Linked DNA regions of Mus musculus. The protein of the gene in region 1 purifies or fractionates together with the protein of each later gene. This does not show direct contact. Links are inferred from orthologs where the notes say so. Each region holds a gene or a part of one and is shown in the gene's direction. Other genes may lie near its edges.

Region 1 (4,380 bases):
GAAAATTCGTCCCACGTTCTCAGAAATTCAATAAATACTGTGCTTGCCTCGGTTGGCTTAATACTCCACTGATCAAAATCTCAGCGTTAAAGTACATTAACACATTAGTTCCCAGGCCTTCCAATATAGCCCTTGTCCTCAGGACGCCGAATTCCGCGTTGTGTTTTGTCGAAATCCAAATTTTCATCTAGACCAGGACCTAGGTTTCCCTTGGCATCCCAACAGCTGCTTAATATACCCCACTGTATGAAAGTGTGCTGAACAGGCCGGGCAACAGGTATAGCGCTGCAAACCGGGCAAGAGCACCCAAACTTAGCACTCTGGCGTTTTCTCTCTTCTCATTCAAAGACGCCGCTCCCATTGGGCATCTCATCTGAATTAAGCGACTACTCTTTCTTATACCTATTTCGGTTGGGGGGGGGGGGGAGAACCAAAACCAAAACAGCTCACATATTTATATACATTCCGGAAGTCTATCCGTAATTACAGTGAGCTCCTCCTACCGGCATTTCACTGATGGTACTGGGGGAGTAAGGCGGATAATCCCTCACACGGAAAGCACCGCACTCGGTGGTTGATCCGATTTCTAATCCCATCTGCACTGATCCCCTGCTGGCTAGTGGTGAAGCCGAGTGAAAAGACAGTGAGGACTGTGTGTCCTCGCTGGCGGGTGATGCCTAGGCGATTCGACATCTGACAACAGTTTCCTTAAGATGGTTTGGGACTGGGGACCGGGGCGGCGTGCAGCCTTGCCACCTCCCTAAACCAAACTCTTAAGCGCGAGGAGGGGGAGCAGACCCTGAGAGCCACCCCGGCGCTGGGGGGTGGAGGGGCCGCACGCAAGGCGGGGAGTCCGCATTTAAAAGGGCAGAGGGCGCACCGCCTACCTCCGCGGTCCGCCCCGGTGCTCCGGGACCGTGGCCGCGGGGCGCTCGGCGGGAAGTCGCCGCGCATGCCCGGAGCCGCGCCCGCTGCACCCTGGGTCGCCTTAGTTCCCCCTCAGGCCTCACTCGGCCAGCGGCGCCCAGGGGCCGCTCGCTGCTGTCTTGGAGGCTCGCGAGGGAGGCGCTGGATCCGCCAGATGGAGGCAAGGTCGGTAACTCGGGGCCGAGCGAGCCGAGCCGGCGCTTCCTATCCCTGTAGGGGAACAGAAACGAAGAGAGCGGTCGCCCGGCCTCTCGGGGGCAACCGTCAGGACTTCGGTCGAAGGGGGCAGGCTCAGCCATGCGGTCCCTTTAAGAGGGGGCGGGGCGCGGCCTGCCGTTTGGCCGGCCTCCGCACCCTCCCCCCGCCCCCAGGCGAGAGCTGACAGACCAATCGCCCGGGTGGCGCAGGGAAGGCGGGAGAATGCGAACTCTTCGGTAGGACGATAGGGGCGGGGCCCCAGCCTTATTAGGAGTGAGTGCTGCGCAGGCGCAGATGCGGTCGCTGGCCAAGGGGCGGGGACTAGTCCTGTGAGACTCCGACAGGCACGGAGGCTGATAGAGAGGCGAGAGGGTAGCGAGGGGCTTGTCACGGGGATCCGGGCGACCGGGCAGCCCCGGTAGTGTCTGGGGAGTCCCCGGGGGGGACAGCCAGCGTCGCTGCCTGGGAGCCCCGGCGCCATCGGCCGCGGGGAACCCCGCTGCTCGCTCTCCTAGAGAGGGAGGGGGCCGGAGGGAGCCCCGGTCTCGCCCCGCCCCTGGGCTTGTTACCGCGGGGGCGGGGAGTAAGGGCTTCTTCTTGGGGGAGTGGAGATCGGGGGACTCGGCGGTGCCCTCTCGAGCGGCGGCCGTGTCCCCGCGGCGCCGGGCTGCCGAGCGGAGGAGCGGCGGTCGTGGCTGTTGCATGTGTGGCTGCTGGATGCGGAGGCGGCGGCGGCGGCGGCGGCGAGGAGCAGCAGCAGCGGCGGCGGCGGCGGTGGTGGTGGTGGCGGCGGCAGGATGTTAGGGCAGCAGCAGCAGCAGCAGCTGTACTCGTCGGCCGCGCTCCTGACCGGAGAGCGGAGCCGGCTGCTCTCCTGCTACGTGCAGGACTACCTGGAGTGTGTGGAGTCGCTGCCCCACGACATGCAGAGGAACGTGTCGGTGCTGCGGGAGCTGGACAACAAATACCAAGGTACTTTCCCTTCTTTCGGGTGACAGTGTGCGCCGAGTGCACCGAGCGATCTGGTGTGTGGGGCCGGGAAGCGGTTGTGTGTGTGTGTGTGTGTGTCTGGGTGGGGGGACGGCACAGCACACTCGCGGCCCTCCCTGTCCCGGCTGCGGCTGACGAGGACTTCCGAGGACCGCCCGTCCGTCAGCCCCCGTTGCAGCTCCGGCGGCTGGCTGCAGCTGCCGCGGACGGGAATCAGCCATTTTTAAGCGAGCATTTGTTCCGGTGCCTGCCGGTTGGGTGCCGCACACTGTCCTGCCCGGGGCTGGAGAGTGTGCAACGAGCAGGGTTGCGGGGCTGGACCGGGGTGCTGGGCCTGCTTAGCCCCTTGCCTGCTGGGGCTCCCTCCGTCTGCGAGCAGATGCATTGGAACGTATGGGGGGGAGGGGGCGAGAGGACGGCGGAGGTGGACTCGGGAGATGCCTCTCCCCCCACCCCCACCCCCCTCCAGCTCCCGGCGTGGCGCGGGACTGGGACGGTCTGTGCTTCCCTCTCGCCCCGGGGAAAGTTCCGGGCCGCCCGGTGTCTCACTCAGCCCTTCTTCGGCTACTGCCAAATGGTTAAAGGGGGAGGGGTTCCCCCGCAGGGCGAGACGGAGAAGGGGTGTGTGTGTTGTGTATGTGTGTGCGTCCGTGTGTGTGTGTGCGTGTGTGTGTGAGTGTGTGGCGGGGAGGGTCCGGCCTAGGGGCGGGGCCTGCAGGTGTGACGTCGTATGGGCGGGGCGCGCGCTCCCGCGGGAGTCGGCCACGGCGGGCTGCTCGGAAGGGTCCTGGGGTGGACTGAACCCATTGCTGGGCGGGACGGTCGGTGGGCCTGGGCGGAGTCAGTGTTGGGTGTTGGGAGAGATATTTCAAATCTCTCCCTAGCCCCCCCCCCCACCCCGGTTAGTGAATCAAGACGCGGACACCGCCGTGGGGGACTGTCTCTGACCCTGGCTCAGCGTAGGTTCCGGGCCATGTGTCACTTCCGGACTTCTGGAGGAAGTGGGTTCGTTGGCTGGGCAACCACCTGGCGTCTTTGCACCCTTGGGTTCCTCCTCCACCAAGTTTAAATGAGGAGAAAAGCTTTTTCTTGTCATCAAAGAAACTAGGACAGGGAATATCTTCAGGGATTGTCATACCTTTCTCCTGCTAGGACAGGAGAAATTTAAATGGGGATACGTTCAGCCTTTAGTAACCCCTAGTCAAGAAACTGTGTAGACCTAATATGGACCATAAAAACAACTTGGAGTCATTCTGTTTCCCCAGACCATCCCCAGTCCTGTAACTTAATCCTGTAATACACCCCATGGTGACTTAGCATGTAAGAGCACTTAGGTGTTTTCAATCGACAAACTTGTTTTCTAAGTCTCTCACTGTTTATAGTATAACAGTGTTTTCACCAGATTCAAAGACTTATGAGGTAAAAATCTACTTTTATAGACAAAATTTATAGGGATGGTATAATGAATTCAGTTAATTGGTGGAGAATATTTTATTTCAAAGCTGTCTGCTTTTAAAACCGTTTTAAAACTGTGACTCCTCTCAATCCCAAGAGATTGAAGTTAGGACTCACACAGGATAGGTAAAGGCCCTACAAGTTCACCCTTTCAAAAAATGAAAATCATTCTGTGGTATTTTCTGCAGACATAGGGAACATACATGAATGGCAACCTAGCATGAGAATTCTGTGCCAAAATATGTAGTTTTTTTTCTTTAAAAGCGCAAAGCTTAGACTTTTAGATTGGTAGTGACATAATTTTTTGACAGGGAAATCTGTGATACCAGTTACCTGTAATTGTCATAAACTGTTCAGGTAACATGAATAGTAGATCTTACAAGACTGAGAGGTTAATGCAAACCAGCTCCATTATGATTGAGATTAATTCCAAGATTAATACACAAATCGTGGTCTAGCTTCTGCATAGGCACAGAGTTGCTAAGCTCAACTTCACAGTTTTATTTTTGTTAGAAGCTTTATATATTTTTGTTTTCTTGGTCCAGATTTTATATTCACTGATTCTTAAGTATTTTCTAGTATGGGGGTCTAATGTTACTGTGCCTTTCAGAAATTATTGCATGGTTCATTAAGTAGAGAAACAAAGAAAAAGCACAACTGGTTTAAATATTTATTGCAGGATATGGCTATAGGAAGCCTTCATTGTCTCCTCAGCATTTCATTCATAATTTTCTAGAGAAATCTTAGCCTTTGAGCTAGAATGTAATGTGGGATTTCCGATGCCGTTTGTACAGTGTATGGAAAGTGTTG
Region 2 (4,119 bases), about 9.8 Mb from region 1:
GAATATTGACCTTGAACTCAGAGATATGTGTGGCTCTGTATCATTAATGCTGGCATTAAAGGCATGTTCTACCATGACTGGATTTAAACTTTTCTCTATTTGGAACTTGCTCTGTTCCAAGCTGGTCTTGAACAATGAAATCTGCTTGGCTTTGTCTCTTTGGATTAAAGGTGTGAAAGCTTGGGCCTAAGTTTTTCATGACCTCTGTGACGATTATATATATATATATATATAATCGTCACTGAATTGGTTGAATCTAAAACAGGCTTTCTCAAAACTCTTCCACTTGAAATAAATTATTTTTGCTTAAGCTTAAGTCTAATAATTATCAGAGGTTCAGGGTTGGCATGGCCACGCCCATTCTTCCACCCCGCCCACCACAGGCACAGGCAAAAATACACATTACGCGAGCACAAACACGTACCCAGGCGCGCACGCGCGCAACCCCCCCCCCCCCCACACACACACCCGCGGCACACACAAGCACACATGTACGCATGCATATGACTCAAGAAAAGAGGTTTCTCGATCCTCGTCCCCTACAGCCAGGGCTAAGTTTTGATGAGTAGTCTGCAGACGTGATACTAGTGTGCTTCCTTTAAATGGTCTTAAACCCTCTTAGATCCGTTTGAAAGGAATCCAAGTGGCAGTAGAGGCGACAAGCAGCCCGATGCCTGCCAACCCGTCGGCACACGAGTATGCCAAGGACCTGCCACGCTCTAGAAGTCAGCTGCGGTATGGAGATGGAGATGAAGGACTCTCCGCCTAAAGAGCGCTAGGTATCCCGAGTTTTCTTTCAATAAATACCAAACAGCCCGTAAACTTTTTCTCACTTAATTCTTACTACCCCCCCCCACCCCCCACCCCCCCACACACACACACCATTAATGCTTCTTCCCAGGAGTCAGCTGGCGGTCTGAACACTAACTTTGCGAAACAAGAGGAGCTAAAACCAGCCCTTGCTCGCAGGAGAGAATAGAGGCGAGAAAACACGGTAAAAGCCTGACCTCACAGTCAGACTTGCCCGGTGCTTGGAATGGAAAAAAAAAAAAACTAGGGGTGGCTCGCCACGCGACGCATGCTGGGATGAGTAGTTTGTCCCGCTGGTCCCGCACGTAATCAGAACAGAGCGCAAGTTAGCTCCTCGATCAAGAACTACCATTCCCGTGGGGCCGCGCGGCAGGTGTGGGGCGGGGCCAGAGGAGGGGCGTCTCCCTCGCGCAGGTTCTGGGGTTGAGAAGGAGGCGGAGGAGCTGCGGTCCAACTGCTGAAGTCTCCATGTGACAGTGAGTGGGGTCTCCTTTCTAGGCGCCACTTCACTCCTGATCACAGTCACAGGACCTGGTAGCTATTCCAGCACCGACAGACCGGCCGGCCCTGGACTCTGGGCGTCGGACCGTGCCGCCACCAGACTTGGGGTGCGGAGTGAACGGCCGCCCAGGGGAAGGAGGCGGAGCGGCGCGGCGAGCGGGGCTCTGTAGCGGCGCCGGCGCCCCCGAACTGGCAGACATGAACGGCTTCACTCCGGAGGAGATGAGCCGAGGCGGGGACGCGGCCGCCGCCGTGGCCGCGGTGGTCGCTGCTGCGGCTGCCGCCGCCTCGGCGGGGAATGGGAACGCAGCCGGCGGTGGGGCAGAGGTACCCGGTGCCGGTGCAGTGTCAGCTTCTGGGCCACCTGGAGCGGCCGGTCCCGGCCCTGGGCAACTCTGTTGTTTGCGGGAGGACGGTGAGCGGTGCGGGCGCGCGGCAGGCAACGCCAGCTTCAGCAAAAGGATCCAGAAGAGCATCTCTCAGAAGAAGGTGAAGATCGAGCTGGATAAGAGTGTAAGTGGCCCAGGGACCGCCCTGCCCTATCCTGCGTGCCTCGCCGGATGGTTGGCGGGGTTCACGAGTCTCGGGGATTGGGTTGCAGGTGGGATTAGTGGTTCTCTGATTGAAACAAAGTCCCTGCAACTCCGGCCACCTTCCCCAGCGCGCGCTCGCGCAGTGGTGCGGGGCTCCTCCGCCCCTCGCCCGGACTCCCGCTGCCTCGCGTGTCTCCCACGCCAGGCTTCCCTCTTCCTCCTTTGCTGCGATCTGGAAACGAAACAAAGGGGACCGCAGCACCGAGGGCCCGGAGTAGTTTTCTCGCAGCCGGGCAGTCCCTTCTGGAATGGAGGCGCCTTTGTTTTGCTGCCAGAGCCGGTGTCTGCCCTAGGGAGCAGCTTCGCTCCTCTAGGGAAAGTAGAGTCTGGCTGGACCCCACAATTCTCTCTCTCTCTCTTTTTTTCCTTTTTGTCTTTTCTTTTTTTCTTTCCTCCTCGTTGTTCTCTTTCTCTTGAACACAGACAAGCAAGCTGAGCTCACCAGTTGCCTTACAGGGAGATAGATGATTGTAAACGTTGTTTGCGGTGTCAGCTCTTCGGGCAGCTGCTCCGAACCAAGGCTGCAAATAAGCCTCTGCGGTTTTACAGCCCTCTCGGCAGCCATCGGGATTTCTTTTTCTGTCTTTATGCACGTCTGCTGTTTTGGCCAGCTATGAGGTTTCAGAGAATTCCATTGCTACTTTTCAGAGCTCTGACTGATGGCAAAGGAAGAACAAGATACAGAACCTCCAGACATCCTGTATATTTTTAACTTACCCTTAGCTTAGAAGTCAATTTAAAAGCCTGTTCATTCGGCCTTTAATTGTAGCCTTAAAAGGGGGGGGGGGGAGAGTGTCAATCAGCTCAGTATTTCCTAGTCCACTGTATATACAGCTCTCAAATCCCCGAGTAATTAATTTTTTTGAAAAGTTTATTTGTGATTCTGTTTAGGCAGGTTTCTCAGTAGGGTCCATGAGAAACTTTGCAAGAGAACATGAATAATTTGCTTTAATTGAAAACACAAAATACAGAGAAATATATTCGCTTAATCCTTAAAAAGAAACCTTAGGGTTCAAATTTAAACATAGGATATGAATTCAATGTTGCATTTGTAAAGAAATGCATACTTTGTACCTGTAGAATTTCACTATCTAACAGATCAATCAGAAAGCATGTACCTACGAGTAATATAATGCTGCTCTCAAGCTAGAGAAAATACAAGGACAAATTTGTGGGCAATGCCACCTCTCCCTTTTAAGTTAAAATCAGCAGGAGCTAACTTATTTAGGTCACCTTCCCTGCAATTTGATGACAAGACCCAGAGAATTGGAATTTTTCTTCCTTTCCTGCCTGCCTGCCTTCTCCAAGATACTACCCGCCCGCCCACCGCTTCCAATTCCTCCCCTCCCCCATTTCCTTAACAGTATCGCCAGATTGCTAATGTTACAACATTTTAATAGTGGAAAGAAACATTGCATCTTCTGAACAGTGGCCTGTTAAGATGATTTTTAGTCAGCCACCTGGGCCTATGCATTTTACTAATACTTAGCTGCAGTTTTTCTGGACTCACAGTCTTTGAAAATTTTTCCTTTACAGGCAAGGCATCTTTACATTTGTGACTATCATAAGAACTTAATTCAGAGCGTTCGGAACAGAAGGAAGAGGAAAGGAAGCGATGATGATGGGGGAGACTCGCCTGTTCAGGACATCGACACTCCAGAGGTAGATGGCAGGCTTTTCCCCATGTTATATGTAAATCATAAGCATGCTGGCAATCCCAACACCATTCTGTAAATATTTGAGCTCTTCTTTAACTGTTTAAAGCATCTGAAAAATCTCAAAAGTTATATACAGTCAGTGAAGATGTATTTATACTAATATTAAATCTCAGACGACATTCTTACAGCTCTTGACATACAACTTCCTCTTTTGTTTCTCCGGAAGTTTACAATATGTATCCCCCAAAGATGGAACTGTTTAATAAAGTACAGGTCTGAGTGTGTAAATGAAGTCATTGTGTGAAGTGTCATAATACAGATCAATGATATCTTTTCAACAGAGTGAACTAACTCATCTATTTTTTTTTTCTAGGTTGATTTGTACCAATTACAAGTAAATACACTTAGAAGATACAAAAGACACTTCAAGCTTCCAACCAGACCAGGTCTAAATAAAGCACAACTTGTTGAGGTATATATAAATAAGCTTTATACTGTTTAAACAATCCTGTTCACACCAACAAGGTATCATTAAGTGATGATGAAATAGATGAATG
Region 3 (4,392 bases), on another chromosome or scaffold:
GAGAATATTTTGTGACCTGTGAAAAGTACACAGAGTTCAGATTTCAGTGTCTATAGTTTTGCTGGAAGATGGCCAGGCTTATCCATATTTTCTATGGCTGTTGTGTTACAACACCGAAGGCTGCCTGACCCCTGTCAAAAAAAAAAAGTTTGACCACCAGTGTTCTAGAACTCGGAGGACCCATGCTACTCCACTCTTCTAACCGCCCCCCTCCCGCCTCCAGCCACCTCTTCAGCGTTAGTCACCAGCAAGATTCTTGGAGCTGACATGGAGGGAGGGCGTTATAATAATGAATTGTACCACATGGGAAAACAAGAGACCCAAGACAGTAAATTTCTATATAAGGGAACGTGACTGTTTCTGTCACATACTAGAGTAACGTCTGAGTTGGTTTCTCGATCAGAAAAGAGAGCATCCTCGAGGCCTCTGCATGGTTGCGTTTAAGCATGAAGGCACTTGGAAAGCTATCAAGGGAACAAATGTTCCGGGGGTGTTTCTGCAAGGAGAGCCTCTGAGTTTAGATGTAGACTGTGGTTCCCTTTAAGCGTAGGCGCCTGGGCCCCTCTGCTCTGGCCCTCTTTTTCTCCCTGGGATCATGTGGCTTTCTCTTCACCCCCCCCCCCAAGGCTAAAAAGCTTCAGAGAAATGCAGAGCTCAGGTATGCAGGCCTAGATTAGCCCAGCCCAGCTCTCTCCAGTTCAGCAGCCAGCTGCAGGGTCAAAATGGGACCCCTTCAGGTGACAAGAATGACTCAGCAGGGGCCTAGGCAGGAACTGAGATAGGGAAGCAGTGGCAGGCACAAAATCCCCTGCAGCAGCAGGAAGCTAAAGAACCAGTAGGTTAAGGACGCACAAAGGTGAACATACAAAAAGTCATTTAAGTCAACTTTCGACGAGGGGCGGATTGAAGGCCTGCGCCATCGCAGGCCTTAAATAAAGGTCTGCCCAGCTTCTGGGAGAAAAAAGAAAAACCCGCCCAAGGTCTCTCCTAAAGGTCCCTTTCGCTTATGACAAATGTCACCAGAGCTCGACTGGGCCCTCGATACAGTTGAATGGGGGAGCCTTTGAGGGGTGCAGAAAACTGCGTGGCCGTGATTATCTGGGAGACTTTGCGGGCAGTGTAATCTCTCGAGACCAGGAAACCATTTTCCTCACTGGCTCTGAGATTTTGCTTTGCTAAGGCGGCTGCAGCTTCCCTGCCCCCCTCGCACACCCCCGCCGCCGCCGCCGCCGCCGCGGCTGCTGCTTTAAGCAACCACGCCCCGCGGGCCCCAGGCTTCTTGGCCCTGGGGCTCGCAGCCCCCGCGCAGCCTGCACACCGCGCTCGCATCCGCCCCACCCCCGCGCGGGCCCAGCCGCCCCCGCGGCCAGCCTGGGGAGTGACGCCTCGCGCCTGCGCCTCGCCGACTTCCTGCCGCGGAACGCCCCACCCACTCTCGAGAAGCCCACCCCCGGAGAGCGCGTCAGACCCTCCCGTCGCACGCTATTGGTCCAAGCCGCCGAGCCGTTGGCTCCCAGGCCCGCCTCTTCTCCGCCTCTCCAATTTCCCAGGGCGGCTGCGCCTGCGCTCAGCTGCCTGGGCGGGCTGAGAGGCGCGGGTTGAAAAGTCTCGTTCCAAGTTTGGCGAGAGGGAGAGAGAGGAGAGCGGCTCAGACCTCGCTACCCGCCAGCGGGGAGGAGGCAGAAGAGGAGATCGCGGCGTCTGGGGGGAGAACCCAGACGGCCAGACCGAACTCAGGCTTTTCCGAGCGAGGACTGCGTGACGTGCCTGGGAGAGGCAAGGAGCGCCTGCCGGGCTGCTCTTGACTAGCGAGAGAGAAGTCCGAGGCGGCCAAGGGGGGCGAAACGACCCGACGCAAGATGGCGAGTAAAGAGAGTAAGGATGCCTGCCCTGTGGGGCGGGCGGGCGTGCGGGCGCCGGGACTCCGGGGGGCTGGCGGGCTCCCGAGGCCTCGGCACGCGCTGACGAAAGGCGCGAATTGGCGTGAGGAGCAGGGGGCGGGGCTGGGCGCGAGACTCGCCGCGCGCCTGCAAGGGGGCCTGCGCGACACGGGGCCTGGTCGCCGCCGAGGGCCGGGAGCATTTCCGGAGCCGGGCGCGGGGGCCGAGAGAGAGGCCCCCCTTCCCCCACCCCCACCCCCACCCCGCGGCCTAGCTCCCTCCGACGCCCTTGGCTCGGGGGCGCAGGCGCTCGCGGCCCGAGAAGTCAGCGGCGGGCGCGGATTCTTCCGTGCGCGTGGTCGTCGTCCGTCTGGGGTCGCGGCCCGTGTCCGTGTCGGGAGGGGGGGGAGGAGCTGGATCCCGCCGGACTATGGCTGCCGATCGTGGCTTGGTGGGGAGCTGGGGCCTCCTGCGAGGGTGGGGGGTGGAGGGAGCAGGCCTGTGGGCTGCTGCTGTTCCACGTGGATTGGATCTATTCGAGTGGGTCGGGGCACCGGTTTACAATGCGGATCATCGTAGAACAGGTGCGAGCGGCTATAAAAAGGCTGACGAGCTCGGTGGTAGGGCAATTAATGACCCAATTCGGGTAAGCGCCGGAATCCCGATCTTGGAAGTGGAGGCGAAAACGCTTCCTGATGTTGATCTTCTCACTTTGTGGGAGAGCAGTTCGTGTGAGCAGGATAGGTAAAAGGAAAGAATAGATAAGGTGTGGCCGTCTCGAGGTGACCTCCAGGATCCGTAGCCATGCCTTTGACTCCGAGCCTTCTCAGCCACTTAATTGTGGGCTTTCTCCAAATTTCAGTGTTTGAAGATACTGTGGAGGAGCGTGTCATCAACGAAGAGTATAAAATCTGGAAGAAGAATACACCGTTTCTGTATGACCTGGTTATGACCCATGCTCTTCAGTGGCCCAGTCTTACCGTTCAGTGGCTTCCTGAAGTGACTAAGTAAGGGTTTCTGCCAACTTCTATTTTGTGTAGATTTAAGTACCATGTTAAATTTCTAGGTATTGTTAATGTTATTTTACACACAGAACATAAATACCTAATTGGTTAGGCCGAGGGTGAGGCGGCAAGTGGTTGTTCAAAACTTAAGATGGTTTCTATCGTAGAGGTGTGTTGAGAGGAGAGAATATTGTGTAATACTGTGTATAGGAAACGATGACTATTTTGCCATTCCATGACCAACATCTCTGGACTCTAGATCAATACATTATTTTCAAACTTAATAGGAAAGATTACATACATAACAAATTAAAAGCTATTATGGCTTGATGCATTAAGTGATTTTCTTGAATATTTGTAAGATTTGGCATAATTACTGATATTTATGGAGCACTTAGAATAATAGAACCTGACACATCTGAAGAGTTTAAGCCTCATAACAGAACTACTGTTGCGATTCAGAGATTTACCAGTGAGGAAAGGGGATGAGAATTTTAAGCACGGTGCTCAAGCGCTCACTACTGGCGATCTCATAGCTTACAAACTAGGGCTCAACCAACCAAAACCGGTTGGCTCCAGAATCAAGGCACTTCCTTCACTAGACTACCTTTAGGTAGGCATGTACCTTTTTTTTGTAATTTTTTTAAAAGATTTATTTATTTTTATTATATGTAAGTACACTGTAGCTGTCTTCAAACACTCCAGAAGAGGGAATCAGATCTCATTACGGACGGTTGTGAGCCACCATGTGGTTGCTGGGATTTGAACTTCAGACCTTTGGAAGAGCAGTCGGGTGCTCTTACCAAGTGAGCCATCTCACCAGCCTGGCATGTACTTTTTCTATAGGAATATGGGCACATACCTTAAAAGTATATTGATTTTTTTTTTTTGTCTTTTTTTTGTATAGTGAGCCTATAATTAGGGTCAAATGAAACTAATATACAAGGAAGAATTTGTGACCAGTGGTAAAAAGAAGCTAGTTTTAAAATCACTTGAAAGGGCTAGGTTCCATATATGAATATTGACCTTCCAGATGTGGGCTTGCTGTCTCAAAATCTCATGTTTTTTATTTGCAGGTTTTTTTATGTTAAAATTCCATTTTAAAAATCTAAATGTCCAGTGAGAAGAGTCTTGAATTGCTACATAATGGGGGCTTATAGGCATTGATTTTAATTTTTTCAGCACTGGAGGTGGTTCAAACCCAGGGCCTCAGCATAGTAGGCATGTGCTCTGTGGCTAAGGTGTTTTGAACAGATTCTAAAATAGACTGAGGGTTGGCAAGGTGGCTTCGCATGGTAAGGCACTTGCTTCCAAGCCTAAGAACATGAATTCAGTCTCCAGAACTAGAAAGCATTGACTCCTGCAAGTTGTCTTTTGATCTACACATGTACACTGTTGTAGACATGCATATCCACACACAATAAATAAATAAGTAAATAGAATAAAAATAGAATGAGCTGGGTGTGATGGCACATGGGTATAATTCTAAGTTATAGGCCTGCCTGAGG

The links.
Region 2: the proteins of Ing2 (region 1) and Sap30 purify together in Homo sapiens (affinity purification with mass spectrometry; 3 studies listed by BioGRID and IntAct, counting the BioPlex papers as one, with this or other methods). This does not show direct contact. The link is inferred for Mus musculus from reciprocal best matches to the Homo sapiens genes ING2 and SAP30.
Region 3: the proteins of Ing2 (region 1) and Rbbp7 purify together in Homo sapiens (affinity purification with mass spectrometry; 3 studies listed by BioGRID and IntAct, counting the BioPlex papers as one, with this or other methods). This does not show direct contact. The link is inferred for Mus musculus from reciprocal best matches to the Homo sapiens genes ING2 and RBBP7.

Annotation. Positions count from the first base shown.
Region 1 is NC_000074.6:47,672,223-47,676,602, reverse strand, and holds the start of Ing2 (inhibitor of growth protein 2), read left to right. Parts: upstream 1-1,443; 5' UTR 1,444-1,922; coding exon 1,923-2,097; intron 2,098-4,380. UniProt on the Homo sapiens protein: Seems to be involved in p53/TP53 activation and p53/TP53-dependent apoptotic pathways, probably by enhancing acetylation of p53/TP53. Component of a mSin3A-like corepressor complex, which is probably involved in deacetylation of nucleosomal histones.
Region 2 is NC_000074.6:57,484,957-57,489,075, reverse strand, and holds the start of Sap30 (histone deacetylase complex subunit SAP30), read left to right. Parts: upstream 1-1,215; 5' UTR 1,216-1,509; coding exon 1,510-1,824; intron 1,825-3,440; coding exon 3,441-3,566; intron 3,567-3,935; coding exon 3,936-4,034; intron 4,035-4,119. UniProt on the Homo sapiens protein: Involved in the functional recruitment of the Sin3-histone deacetylase complex (HDAC) to a specific subset of N-CoR corepressor complexes. Capable of transcription repression by N-CoR.
Region 3 is NC_000086.7:162,758,833-162,763,224, forward strand, and holds the start of Rbbp7 (histone-binding protein RBBP7), read left to right. Parts: upstream 1-1,539; 5' UTR 1,540-1,859; coding exon 1,860-1,875; intron 1,876-2,016; exon of another isoform or gene 2,017-2,331; intron 2,332-2,742; coding exon 2,743-2,887; intron 2,888-4,392. UniProt on the Homo sapiens protein: Core histone-binding subunit that may target chromatin remodeling factors, histone acetyltransferases and histone deacetylases to their histone substrates in a manner that is regulated by nucleosomal DNA.